Linked DNA regions of Oryctolagus cuniculus. The protein of the gene in region 3 interacts with the protein of the main gene of each other region in a pairwise test. Links are inferred from orthologs where the notes say so. Each region holds a gene or a part of one and is shown on either strand. Other genes may lie near its edges.

Region 1 (4,113 bases), on a different chromosome or scaffold from region 3:
CTCCCAGGGGAACCTGGACGCCACATTTAGGGTTGTGGCTTTGGAGTCAAGTTCAATTCGCAACCAGCGGGGTCGGAGGTCAGAAGTGCAGCTGCAGGTCAGCCGGTGGGATGCGGGTCAAGCTCGGAGGTCAGAGGTCAGGGGTCAGGAGTGGCGTTCAGGACAGAAACCAAGGTCAAGTTTTAGGCGGTCACCTCCTTCCGCTGGGGCACACGGCGCCACCAGACGTGGTCGCAGGAGGAACAGGCGAACTGCCTGTCCACGGCAGGGATTAGGTCATCCTGGGCCCGCTGGAACATGCGCAGGTTGGCCTCCGTCAGCGGCAGGAGGGAGGTGGCCACGGCCTGCGGGACGGGCAGGGTGGGGACAGGGGTCACCGTCCTCTGCCTTGCACACGTCTGCCGCCACCCCCACACGGGTCCCCCTGCCCAGCTGCCAACTCACCTGGATGTCTCGGTCCTGCTTCATGTCCTCTGGGGGGTCCTGCGTGGAGACGCCAGGGGCAGAAACTGGGGCAGGCACTCGGGTCTCCCCTTTACCCGCCTTTGCTGGGGGAGGGGCCTCCCAGAGCTCAGAGCAGGTGCACAGCCAGCAAGGAGCAGGTACATGGCTTCCCTTAGCCATTCCGTTAGCCCCGACAGGTGGGCGCACCTGTTCTCGCCATTGCTCATATGGGGAAACTGAGGCCCAGAGGCAGGGGAGGGCTTGCCCGAGATCATCCTAACGCCCGCAAAAGCCAGGGCTGGGCCAGGCCGAAGCAGGGAGCCTGGAGCTCCATCGGGGTCTCCCATGTGGGCGGTAGGGGCCCAAGCTCTTCAACCATCCCTGTCGCCTCCCAGCGTGCCCATGGCAGGAAGCTGGACCGGAAGAGGCGGAGCCGGACTCCAACCAGGCATTCCGCCTCGCGCTAAACACCAGCTCGCCACCTATTTGAGGCCCCGTCGCTTTCGGCTAGTGCTTGGGGCTCTGGATTTGAACAGACACAGGTTCAAGTCCTGGCTTTGGCACTTCCGGCTGTGAGAACGTGGGCAAACCACTCGTCCCCCCGGGGCCCCTGGAGAAAGCATGACTTCACCACCGTGCCTCAGTACTGGTCTGTAAAATGGGCTGATCAATAATGGGTCCTGGCTCGTGTGGTGATCAAACAAGTCAGTTCCTGGAACCTGGCCCCTCGGGGAAGTGCCGGGTCAATGATTACCCTCTGTGATTATTTCTATCACATGCTTTATGCCTATAAAGATTAGGATGCGCACTTTATCTCCAGGTAGGTGAGATCCAGCCATTCCCACACAAAGCCAGTCATCACTCATTCATTCGTTCAACACAAGGACGCCCTAGCCGCTTCCCCCTTCCCGCCTCTTCTGGGGTCAGTTCCCCCTCTTCTCTCCCAGCCTATGCTACCTGTCACCCCCTCCCCTGCTTTTCCATTCCAGGGCTCACTCCTCCCTGTCAAGGCTTTGCATCACCTCCTCCAGGGAGTCTTCCCTGACTTCCTGGGCTCCCTGGCACCAATGGCGGCGTCCGCTCCGCTCCATGGAACACAATCAGCACTTAATGAGCACCTACTGTTTGCAGGCTCCCTGGCCCAGCCGATGATTGAGGAAGGTGCTGTGTGTGGCCAGCCCTGCTCGCTCCAGAGGGTCCCCCCGGCTCTCCCGCCCGGTACCCCGACCTTGGAGGCCAGGGGACAGGTTACCTGCGCGTCCAGGTCATTACTGAGCTCCTGTCCGTCCTTCTGCTTTACCCCTGGCGGGATAAGACAGGGCCCCTGAGCGGCCTGCGCCGCCCAGACCCTCCCGCGGCTAGACCCTCCCGCGGCTGGGCCCTCCCGCGCCACGCCCCCTCGGCGCCGGCCGGGGACCCCCGCGCGCTCACCGTACACGATGGAGCGACCCACGCCGGTGTGGTCGCTGCCGAATTTCCTCATCAGAGCCCCGGCCTTCTTGGGCGACACCTTCCCATGAAACTTCTCCCGGAGGCGCCGGACGCTCTTCTCCAACTGGGACGGGGGGGGGGGGGGGGGACAGGTGGGCTCCGGTGGGGGGGGGAGGGACGAGCCGCCGCCCCTCCCCCAACTCCAGGTAACATTCCTGGGGCCTGAACTTTAGCCTTGGTTTTGGCCTCCGCCCCCTCCCCCCTTCCCACCATCTCTCCACGACATTTCCTGCACAACCCCCAAGTCCCTACAGGGTCTGGGGGTGGGAGCGGATGGCGGGCGCGGGTCCCAGCCTGCGGGCGGGGCGCACAGGTAAGGCCTGGGTCTGACCCCTGACCCCGCAGCCCCCGCTTCTCCTCGGGGGGAGGCCGCGCTTCGCTCCGGAGGCGGGGGACGTGAGCGGCGCGCTCCTCTCCGAGGGGGCCCGGGCGCTCGCCCTGAGCATGGGATGGGATGCGGATGGGGGTCCCCCAGGAACTGCGGAGCCCCCTCGGCGCCCCCGGGCCCCCCTCGGCGCCTGCCGCGGGCCCCTCGGCTCGCGGCCGTGGCCATCGCCTACCTCCACACCTTCCTGAGACATGGTGGTGGCGCGCAGGTCCCCGCGAGGGTCCGCACTGCGTGGCTCAGCCGCCCTCCTCGCTGGGCGCGCCCGTCGGTCCGGCCGCCGCGCAGGGCAGGGGGCGGGGTCTCGCGGCCGGCTCCGCCCTTCTGCCCGGGCCCGGTGTTTCGCTTTCGGTTCCGAAGTGGGGAACGGGTGCGCTGGCTCCGCCCCGGCTCCGCCTCTGCACTTGCGCCCCAAACCCAGGCGGGCGCGCGGGGTCTGCGCCCTGCGGCGGGGCGCGCGCACCTCGGGCGGGGGAGGCGGCGCGGCCTCTGCAGTCGGTCACATGTCCCCACGCTGCGCGGGGGCCGCGTCTTCACGTCCCCCGTGGGGGCGGGGCCGCCTCCGAAGGCAGCGGCGGGTCCCCGCGCCCCCCACTCCCCGCGTGCGCTCCCACGGACCGGGCGCTTGTTAGGACCTGGGGGGGTTTGTGGGGGGGGGTCCCTCCTCCCCTGCTGTTGAGTTCCTGACAGGCCACTGTGACGTTTCTGATCCTCAGTTTATCGCTCTGTAAAATGGGAATGATCCATAGGTGCTTGTGAAAAACACAGGGTGATGGGCCCCAGCTTTTGGGGGGCGCTTTAGAAATGTGCATTTTATTTTTTAAAAGTTTTATTTATTTGGCTGGCAGAGATAAAGAGAGAGAGTGCATTCCCATTTGCTGGTGGACTCCCTAAATGCCTGGGTCAGGCCGAAGCCAGGAGCAGGCATCTCAATCCGGGTCTCCCACGTGGGTGGCAGGGACCCAAGTGCTTGAGCCACCACCTGCTGCCTCCCAGGGCTGTGCTATAGTGGGAACTGGGACCTGGATCAGAGCCCAGGAGTTCAGCTCATGCCATGCAGGCCTCTCATGTGTCCCGTTAACCCTCTCAAGCCAAATGCTTGCTTTGGAATCTGCATTCTCAATCGGGCGGTTGAGGGGCCCATGGGGCCCCAGCAGAGGGGCCTGGGGAGCCTTTAGCTGGGACCCTCGGCCTGGGGACATCATCTCCTGCTTGGACAGAGCCCCAGAAGTTTGAGGTCATAGCTGGTGAGGATGGAGTCAGGTGAAAGAAGCAACTGCGTTTTCTCAGCCGCCTGCACAGAGCTGCGGACACTTTGGGCCAGTAGCTCTTTGCGATGGGGATCTGTCCCCGGCCCCCATGCCCTAGATGCCACCGGAGTCGTGGCCCTCCTCAGAAGTGGCCTCCGGACACTGCTGGAACACAGGGCGGTGTTGGGCACAGAGGTTTTGCTGCCGCCTGGGACGCTGGCATCCCATCTTCGAGTGCCAGGGTTTGAATCCCAGCTCCCGACTCCAGTGCCCTGCTGATGCGCACCCTGGGAGGCACCAGGAGATGGCAGGTGCACGGGGCTCCTAACACCTCTGGGGGAGACCTGGAGGGAGCTCCTGGCTCCTGGTTTTGGTCTGGTCCAGTGTTGGATGTTGTAGGCATTTGGGGAGGGAACCAGCGCATGGGAGATCTCTGTCTTTCAAATAAATAAAATCAATTATTAAGTTAAAAATATGCCTACCATAGGATTCATCAATCCTACAACAGGCACGCCCCTGTCACCCACGAGGGAGACTCGGATG
Region 2 (4,290 bases), on a different chromosome or scaffold from region 3:
GTTTTCTAAGTACATGGATTAAAAATGCAAGGTGTTCTGAAAACACACAGTCACACGGCACAGGCTACCCATGGGACTGTGCCTCCCACCCCTCCCTTCCTGGCAGAGGGGAGGGGCGAGGAGAAAGTACACCGAGGGGACACAGCGGAAGGGGCGGGAACTTGGGACGTCGGGGCAAAGCGAGCAGGGCTGCTCCCGTCTCAGCTGCACTGCAGCGTTCTGCTAACGCACCTTACGTAGTCTTCATGCTACCCAGCACGGCACCGGCCCGCCCAGGGGCTGCCCTGCGGTTCCGTCGGCAAGGCGCCCACCACCTTCCCTCCTTTTGCTGCCCAGGAGGCGCGGCTGCCATCCTCCCCTCTCGTCTTGGGAACAACCTACTAATTAAAACCCAGGAAACGGCTTCATAAGGAAAACAAACTCTCAGACAAAACCAACAGGCATTTTAAACACTGTTGTAGAAACTGCTGGATAGCAAGCTCGGATTCTTGAAGGCAACCTTTTAAATCCTTTCCTGAAATGGCACTTTTTCTTAAATCATCACCTTACATTTGAAGTGATATTTCTATCTCGTCTCAGCCCAAAGCCAGGTTCCCTGCATTACTCTCCGTGTGTGTATCTGCTTGTTCCTGTTATAGAAGTTTCAGAAGACAAGCCAACACTATCGCTAACAGCATGCGTAAGAGAATTATTATTCTGTGACTCCTCTCCCAGAAGCTGTCTTGTCAGGACGCACAGCTAAGGCGCCACAGCAGAGAAGCGCGCAGGGCCACCGCGCACGCGCAGTGAGGGGAGGCGCTTACCGCTACTCTCAGCAGCTCCTTCTCCACCTGCTCCAGTTTGTTCTGCTTGGAGGCGGCCGAGTAGAGGGCGGTGGCATAGCGGCCTTCCACGCCGTACACCTGCACCGGCGGCTTGAGAGGGAGAGGGAAGCCGAGGGAGATCGGTGAACCGTGCTTCGTACAGACAACACGGCACGGACAGTCATCAGAGGGCTGTCCTAAGAACAAACCCTCACACCGATTAGGGGTCTGGGTGTTTCCTTGGCCTGACCAGGCAAACGTTTAGGAAGCGCCCGCAGGCACCCCTTCCTCCCTGCGGCGGCGCTGCTGGGGCTCCGCTCCCGGCCCCCACGCCCCAGCGTTCAACGCCACAGAGCCCACGCTTGCACCATCTTCCCCAGGGGACTGCGGCCTTTTCCCTACACGCCACAGTCAATGTACGACTGCACGTGCCGCGTGGTGCTGCGTGGCTGCACAGGGGAAAGCCCAGGCAATAGTGAGGCCGAGCAAAGCACCGTCTCCTGGAGCCTCAGTTTCCCCTTTCACACAACGGCAAGGCCTGCCATGCTCCAGCGCCGCAGAGGGGCGGTGAGAACTTCTCACGTGGAGGGTGGCTCTGGGCGATCTGGTGCTTGGACGACGGCAGGGATGTGACAGTCACTTCTCACCCACTTAAAGGTTCCGCTGGCGTCTGTCACAGGGCAAGCACCCTCCACCATCACCGTCCCCACCCTGCGCACGTGTGTCTTGTGAATCGCAACAACATGCAAAGGTTTACGTAGAAGCGACACCACAGGCCACGGCCTGACTGTAGGGCTAGAGCATGCACACCCTCCCACAGGCCCCTCCCCCACACAGGCGTGTGTATAAAGGACCTACCCTCACGAGCTTGGCAAACGGCCGGACCACAGATGTACTGAAGCTTCGCACCTTCAAAGCAAGAATGGAAACAGGTCAAAAGAAATGTCTTCGAGAATCTCTGTAATTCATTCAATCGCGACCTAAGGCTGCCTTTTAAACGATGTTTTTTGACATAGACTCCACGCGGGTGAGCTGTCTTTATTAGCCAGGAGTCCATGTTCTCACCGAGAATCACGCCACGTTGTTTGGAAAATCGCTTTCCCAGTAATCTCCTAGTTTGCCAGGAACCGGCCGAGGCAAGCGCCCAGTACCAAGGAGAAAACGCTACCTTCCAGGAAGTTAACATCTAACATTTCTGAGCGGGATTTTAACACAAGGGGGAGGAATCCGTAAGGAGCTGTAACAGATGGGCTGTCAGGAATCCACCTGCTGTCTAGTGGTTAGGGCGCGGGAGCGTGACCGCACAAGTTCAAGTCCCCAGCGATGCCCTTGCGGCTCTCAAGGGCCATAATCCACGCACCCGCAAAGGCACGGACCGCCCTCCAGGGCTCTGAGCTCCAGAACGCACTGTGTTAAAACCGGCTCTAAGGGCAGGGTTTTCGGGCTTATGGGGAAATCATGGAAACTACAGCGGGGTCAAGTGCGCAAAGCATCGCGGTGAGACGGAAGCGCGGCTATTTGATTTATTTTTCCCAACGCCACTTTCTCGGTGACACTGGGGTTCGGGTCTTAACCCCATCACTCACTACCCAAGCAGCCCAGGACGCCCCATTTGAACTTCTCATGTCCTTTATAAACCTGGGAAATCCGCCTGAAGTCACCAGCGACCCCCGACGGTTTATGGAACAGCCCAGGCGGCGAAGCCCGGGGCTGGCCGGTGGCCCCTGGCGCCAGGGGTTTCCCGGGCTGTGCCCTGAGGACGCCGAGATGACCGCGCGCCCAGCACCGCGCCGGGCACCCCACAGGCGTCCCGGGGGACGCGAGCCGGGCCGCCCTCACTCGCCAGGCCCCACGACCTTGAACGGCGGCCTTGGTTTCCCAGCGGTGGCCTCGAACCCTAGCGCGCAGGCTCTGGTACAAGTTTCCCCAAGGAGGGCGTCCTCCCAGCTAGCTTCTCTCACCTGCCGGGTGAGCCCGCACACTGCGGGGGCCGCCATCTTCTCCCGGGCAGCTGTAGGTCAAATCCGAGCTGGAAGAGGAAGGGGCGCGAGGGCGCACGCGCGCGTCAGCGTACCCGCTAGGCTCTCTGGGAAGTGTAGGCGTAGGTCGCCACAGCGCGTGCGTAGCCACCTCCTTCAAGCTGGGAGTTGTAGTCCTTAGACGATGCAGTAGGGGTGACCTCCCAGGGGGAGGCTGCACCTGCGAAAGGAATCCTTGAGTTCTGGTCCCCGGGGTAAAAACGATGGCGTTTGTCGCATTTCACAGATACCTTTATGTCCGACTACTCATCCCTCCAGCTGCCTTCTGGAGCTTCGTTTTCCCTTTTGCGGGAACAGGTTTAGCCGACAGCATCGCCGACCTCCTCTTGGGCGCTTCCTTCGTGGCGCCTTCGGCAGAGGTGTCCTTGGAAGCAGGGCGGGTGCGTGCCGGGTACCGACAGCCTAGCGAAGCCGGGCTGCGGGGCTGCCGCCGCGGCTCTCCCCCGCCCGCTGGAGCCGTTGGGAACTGCCATGGCCCCTCCTGGAAGCGTCTTTATACATTCATTAAAAAAAAATTAAGATAAATTCCAAATAGTCCCCAGAACCGGCACAGCCTGGTGAGATAGTCCAAGTACTTGGCTTCCGATGCGTGAGGCCAAGTCCTTTCCACAGGGTTAAACCAAGTCATGCTTTTCGCTCGCTAGTAGTGTCTGAAAATCCTTGTTCCCCTGCACAATGCAAATCATATTTCCAAATACATATTTAATTTAATTTAAATTTTTAAAAAGATTGATTTTATTTATTTGAAAGTCAGAATTACAGGAGGAGAGAGAGACAGAGACAGAGACAGAGGGCGAGACATCTTCCATCCACTGGTTCACTCCCTAGGTGGCTGCAACAGCCAGGGCTGGGCCAGGCCAAAGCCAGGAACCAGGAGCTTCTTCCAGATCTCCCACGTGGGTGCAGAGGACCAGGAACTTGGGCCATCTTCTACTGCTCTCCCAGGCCATAGCAGGGAGCTGCACCGGAAGTGGAGCAACCGGGACTCCAGCCAACGGCCATATGGGATGCTGATGCTACAAATGGCGGCTTTACCTGCTCCTCCACAGCGCCAGCCTCTTCCATATACATCTAATGGAAAGTCTATTCATTTAACACGCTTTGTGGAGCATGGGTCCTGTGTGTCAGAAGCTGTACCATGCCTTGAAGACAGAGCAGGGTATGACAAAGGGCTTGTCTTCGTAGGCCTGGTATTCTCCGTGAAATTGAACGGCAGCACCTGTGTGGGTTTTTGGAGCTATACTGCGAATCCAAAGTGCTGAGGCCAAAAACGCTTGGAAAACAGGGTCGCTCTGAAAAAGATTGGGAATTCATCTGCAGGTGTGTCCCACGGGGACACGCCCTCTGTTTAGTTTGTATTCACCCCATTCCGCTCCACCCCCATGCACCTTCCCTATGCAGAGGTTTATGGGTATTTGAATTTTGGGATTTATTAGGTGGTTGCACAT
Region 3 (4,173 bases):
AGGCCCCCCGGCCCGCGGCAGGCGCTCACCCTGCAGCTCCAGGGAGTCGTCCTCATGCTGCCCGACCAGCTCCCGCGTCTCCTCCAGCTCGGCCACCAGCTGCAGCACCTGGGCTCTCAGCTCGTCCAGCTCAGTCTCGGTGAGGCTCAGGCCCCGGTGCTTGCTCAGGGACAAGGAGCCTCCGCTGCCAGCCTTCTGCATGTGCTCAGCTTCTTCTTCTTCCACCTCCTCCTCCTCCTCCTCTTCCTCCTCATAGAGAGCTGGCAGTAACACCTCTCCTGGGAGAGACGCCCAGCCCAGAAGAGAGTCAGTGCCAGCCTCCTGTGCGTGGCCCTTCCAGAGGGCAGAGCGGCGTAACAGTGCCGCCCGGTGTGCCCAGGAGTCCCCTGGATGCCTGATGAGCCCTAGGTGTTAGGGGCAGGTCAGGAGGCCACCTCGCCCTCCCCTCCCCCAGATCCTCCTGGCCCAACGGCACGCTTGGTGGCCTCTGCCTCCAACCTGTGGGCAAACAGTCTCCTGGCTCAGCCCGGGGAACCACACATGCACACCCAAGTCTTTTCTAGTGTGTTCTCTGGGGAGAGGGCTGAATGGTCAGGAGATTCGGACACCAGGCATGCCTTTAGGCCAATCAGGGCCAGAGTTACAGTTTGAGGATTTGTAGAAAGTTTTTTTTTTTTAAATTATTCAGGTGGCTTAGTGTAAAATTAGCCTTTCCATAATAAGCAAACATTGCCCGTCAGTAGGTAGAGAAAGAAAACATGTGAATGAAATGATTCTAAATTCACTGGACAAACGCGGGGGCCCTTTCAAACGCATTCTGTCAAACAGCTGTTTGGAATTTTCTGCAAGCTCCCCTTGCTTGGCCCTGCTGGGGCTGGCTGTCACGGGGCCTCCCCTCCCCACCTGAGCAGGGTGAGGCCCCTCCTCCCTTGGCCCTCCTGGCTGTCACAGGGCCTCCCCTCCCCACCTGAGCAGGGTGAGGCCCCTCTTCCCTTGATAACCCCTCTTGCCCCTGGAGTTTTCAGGGCAAGTCTTAGCTTGCACCTGTGTGTAAAAGTGAGCCTGCCACTGTAATGTGTTTCAAAGGAAAAAAATAATAATAATAATAATAGCAACAGGGGGGGGTTAGGTGCTGGTCCCCAGCCCCTGGTTGGCGAGCAGCCCCTCTTTCACTGCAATGCAGTTCCTGGAAATAGCAAAATCTTGTCTGAACGGTGATTGTCTGCTTTGTCTTCAAATGCAGAGGCTCTGCTCTTACTTCCTCTTAGCAGCAGCCTAAGGCTCAGCTGGGACCCCTGTGTCACCTGCCCCTCTTAAGGGGACCAGGGTGGCCCACACCGAATAGGCGGAGGGGCCTGGGGACTCCTCCCAGGGAGTCCCGGCACCTGGACCAGCCGTGTTCTTCCAGGGGCCCGGCGTTGGCTGCGGTGCCCAGTCACACGGGTGGGGTGGGCACCCACGTGCGTCGGAGGGGACGGCCTCACCTGCCCTTCCTGGCCTGGCTCTTCCAGGCGACCAGAGCCCGGAGGACCGCAGCTGCGAGACTTTGCTTTGAAGTGCATGGCGGTGCCCATGCCCTTGCCTTTTTTAAAAACCAGAGACAGCTTGGGATCTGGGTCGCAGGCGGGGAGAACGAACCCCCCACTGAAAGACTGCTTCAAAGCTCTGTCCACAGAGGCCTGGTTCTCTGTCTGGCAGCTCCCCAGGGGCACGCAACCTGGTTAGCTGTGCCATCGGGGCCCCAAAGGGATGCACCTTGAACTTTCCTCAGAGCGCCCTGGGGAGGACTGGAGTTCCCACCCAAAGGAGGAGGGGCCTGAGGGAAACAGAGGTCAGGGCTGTGGCACGGGCTCGGAGCTCTGGGGTCACAGGGAGGGAGGAGAAGGGACCGGAAAGAAAGATGCCCTTTTGGGAAACTCACCCTCCATAGCTTGCATCCCTCGCCGCTCCAGGGACCCCCAGCGCTGGCCCTTCTTCCTCTCACAGCCCTCGGACACCTCATAGGAGCCTAAAGTGGTTACTGTGGGTCCTGTGAGCAGGGAGACAGGAAGCCATGTGGGGGGCAGGGGAAGAGAGGGGACGGACGTGCCTTCCAGGCCGGTGGGGCCCTGGGATCTGCAATCCCAGCGGAGGCGCCTGCCAGCTCAGCTCTGCGACTCCCCTCCCTCAGCCTCCCCCGCGGGGACCCCAGCCCAGCTGGGGTCCTGGTCTAGGCAGAAGGAGGGCGGGCGTATGTTCAGAAGAGGGGACCGAGAGGAGAGGGGCTGGGACGCAAGGAAGAGCAGCAGCCAGGAAGGGGGAGCGGCCGTGCGACTGCAAAGCGGCGACAGAGGCGCACGAAGGGGTCTGGGCGGGGACGCCCCCTACCCGCCCCGCCCCGCCCCTCCCGTCACACCTCGCCGGGCGCCCAGGAGCCTTTAGGACTGGAGGGGCTGCAGCGGCTGGAGCCCCCGCGAGCTGGAGGGGCAAGAGGGGAGGGCCCCCGGGGAGGATGTGGCCGCTGTACCGGAAAGATGGAGACCGGGCCCGGGACGCGCGGGGACGGAGGGAGGAAGGCTGAGGGCGGAGGGGTGGGCAGCGGAGGAGCAGGGATGCCCGGGGTCTGCAGGCAGGCGCGCAGGAGCGGAGGCAGGAGGGGCGGTGAGGGGAGGGAGGACGGCTCTGACCTGGGCCCGGGCAGCTCCAGCCCGCGGCTCCCGCGCCGGCCCCGGCGCCCGCCTCCATGGCCGCTCCCGCCGCTGCCGCCGCCTCCCCGAGCCGAAGCCGCAGCCGCCGGGCCGGGACCCGAATGGGCGCGCGGGGAGGAGAGAGGGCGGACCGAGGGGCGGGGCCTGGCCAGGCCTCCCGCTGCTGCCGCCGCCGCCGCCTCCCGGAAGCCCTCCCTGCGCGCTCTCTGCGAAGGTGAGCGCGCCTCGGCACGCCTCGGGTCTTGCCCTCCGACACGAGCTGCCCCGACAAGGAGCGGCCACATCCATCTGCTGTGGTGGCAGGGACGCCTCTGCGGCCGGTGTCGGGGCCCGGTCCTGCCCAATGACTGCGGAGGAAGGGCAAGGTGCCCATCCCCGCAGCGCGGTGACCCCCTCCAAGCGCCTTCGTGGGGGAAGCCAGGCCGGGACATGAGCACTGCGGGGCCTGAGCCCTCCGTGTTCCCTGGACGCCCACCCAGCCACAGCCCCGGGCCCGAAGACCCCTTCACCGTCCCGCTCTGTCTCCCTCCGGCCCACACCCAGTGGCTGCAAACCACGCCCCCGCCGAAGTCTGCCATGGTCACTCCAGTGGAAGGGAGCAGTGGGGTCCCAAAGGGCTTCTTATTCAACCGTCCACGCATTCAGGGAGTGGCTGCGGGCGCTGGATTGCCGAGGCAGTTGTCACCTCTCAGAAACGTGGGAGATCCCTAAACCCGAGGCGCACAGACCCCTTCTCTTGCATATCCGCCGCCAGGTTGGGGGGGGCACCTAGAAGGGCTGTCTGCCTTCATTCACCCCTGCGCCTCCTCCTCCCGGATTCCCAGGCCCTACACGTGGAAGGCCTCATCTGCTCCCCAGGGGATGCCCTCTCTGGGCTCTGCGCCTCCCAGCATGGTGGTGGGGGGCGAGGATCCTGTGTGCCCAGCTTCTTGAAGGTTGGGAAGTATCTTAGACCTTGTGTCTCCAGCATCGGTCAGAGTACCTGAGGCACAGAAGGCGCGTGTACAAGTCAAGCACAGGTAATGCTGTCTTAGCAGTGAGCAGAGGGCGACATCCTGTGCAGTCCACGGTGCCCATTAGCAAGAACGTTGCCTGCAAGTCCCTTACTCCCCAGCCCCTCTCCTGTCCCCTTGGCTCGGTCCCCCCCCCCCCCCCCGCAGCCTGAGGCGCTGAGAAATGGTGAACACAGGTCGGGGGTGTTTCCTGCACTTGCTCCAGACCTTGCGGCCAGAAGAGCCCAGTGAGCGGGAAATAGCAGCTCTGCTGAAGCCGGGGGTGTGGGGAGTCGTCGGGACGCTTGGAAGGGGCTGGCACGGGGGGCTTGGGGAGCGTGGAGCTCTGGGGACCCACATCCAAGAGGCTGTTCTTTCCGCCCCAGCACAGCCAGCCTCTCTGGTTCTGTCTCCACCAGTAGGGTCAGGCTCTCGCCACGGCCTTGACGGCTGACCACTTGGTGGACAAAGGGAGAGACAGAGGAGGAAGCTGT

The links. The genes of interacting proteins can lie anywhere in the genome.
Region 1: the proteins of CCDC136 (region 3) and SHFL interact in binary tests that used the Homo sapiens proteins (3 or more experiments, as listed by UniProt). The two-hybrid records come from large-scale screens. The link is inferred for Oryctolagus cuniculus from reciprocal best matches to the Homo sapiens genes CCDC136 and SHFL.
Region 2: the proteins of CCDC136 (region 3) and ATP5PO interact in binary tests that used the Homo sapiens proteins (3 or more experiments, as listed by UniProt). The two-hybrid records come from large-scale screens. The link is inferred for Oryctolagus cuniculus from reciprocal best matches to the Homo sapiens genes CCDC136 and ATP5PO.

Annotation. Positions count from the first base shown.
Region 1 is NC_091447.1:67,206,277-67,210,389, forward strand, and holds the start of SHFL (shiftless antiviral inhibitor of ribosomal frameshifting protein), read right to left. Parts: upstream 2,801-4,113; 5' UTR 2,517-2,800; coding exon 2,496-2,516; intron 2,000-2,495; coding exon 1,876-1,999; intron 1,747-1,875; coding exon 1,697-1,746; intron 484-1,696; coding exon 445-483; intron 345-444; coding exon 195-344; intron 1-194.
Region 2 is NC_091435.1:11,119,817-11,124,106, reverse strand, and holds the start of ATP5PO (ATP synthase subunit O, mitochondrial), read right to left. Parts: upstream 2,801-4,290; coding exon 2,765-2,800; intron 1,713-2,764; coding exon 1,662-1,712; intron 915-1,661; coding exon 804-914; intron 1-803. UniProt on the Homo sapiens protein: Subunit OSCP, of the mitochondrial membrane ATP synthase complex (F(1)F(0) ATP synthase or Complex V) that produces ATP from ADP in the presence of a proton gradient across the membrane which is generated by electron transport complexes of the respiratory chain.
Region 3 is NC_091434.1:164,988,519-164,992,691, reverse strand, and holds the start of CCDC136 (coiled-coil domain-containing protein 136), read right to left. Parts: upstream 2,801-4,173; 5' UTR 2,725-2,800; coding exon 2,667-2,724; intron 2,030-2,666; coding exon 1,922-2,029; intron 279-1,921; coding exon 30-278; intron 1-29. UniProt on the Homo sapiens protein: May play a role in acrosome formation in spermatogenesis and in fertilization.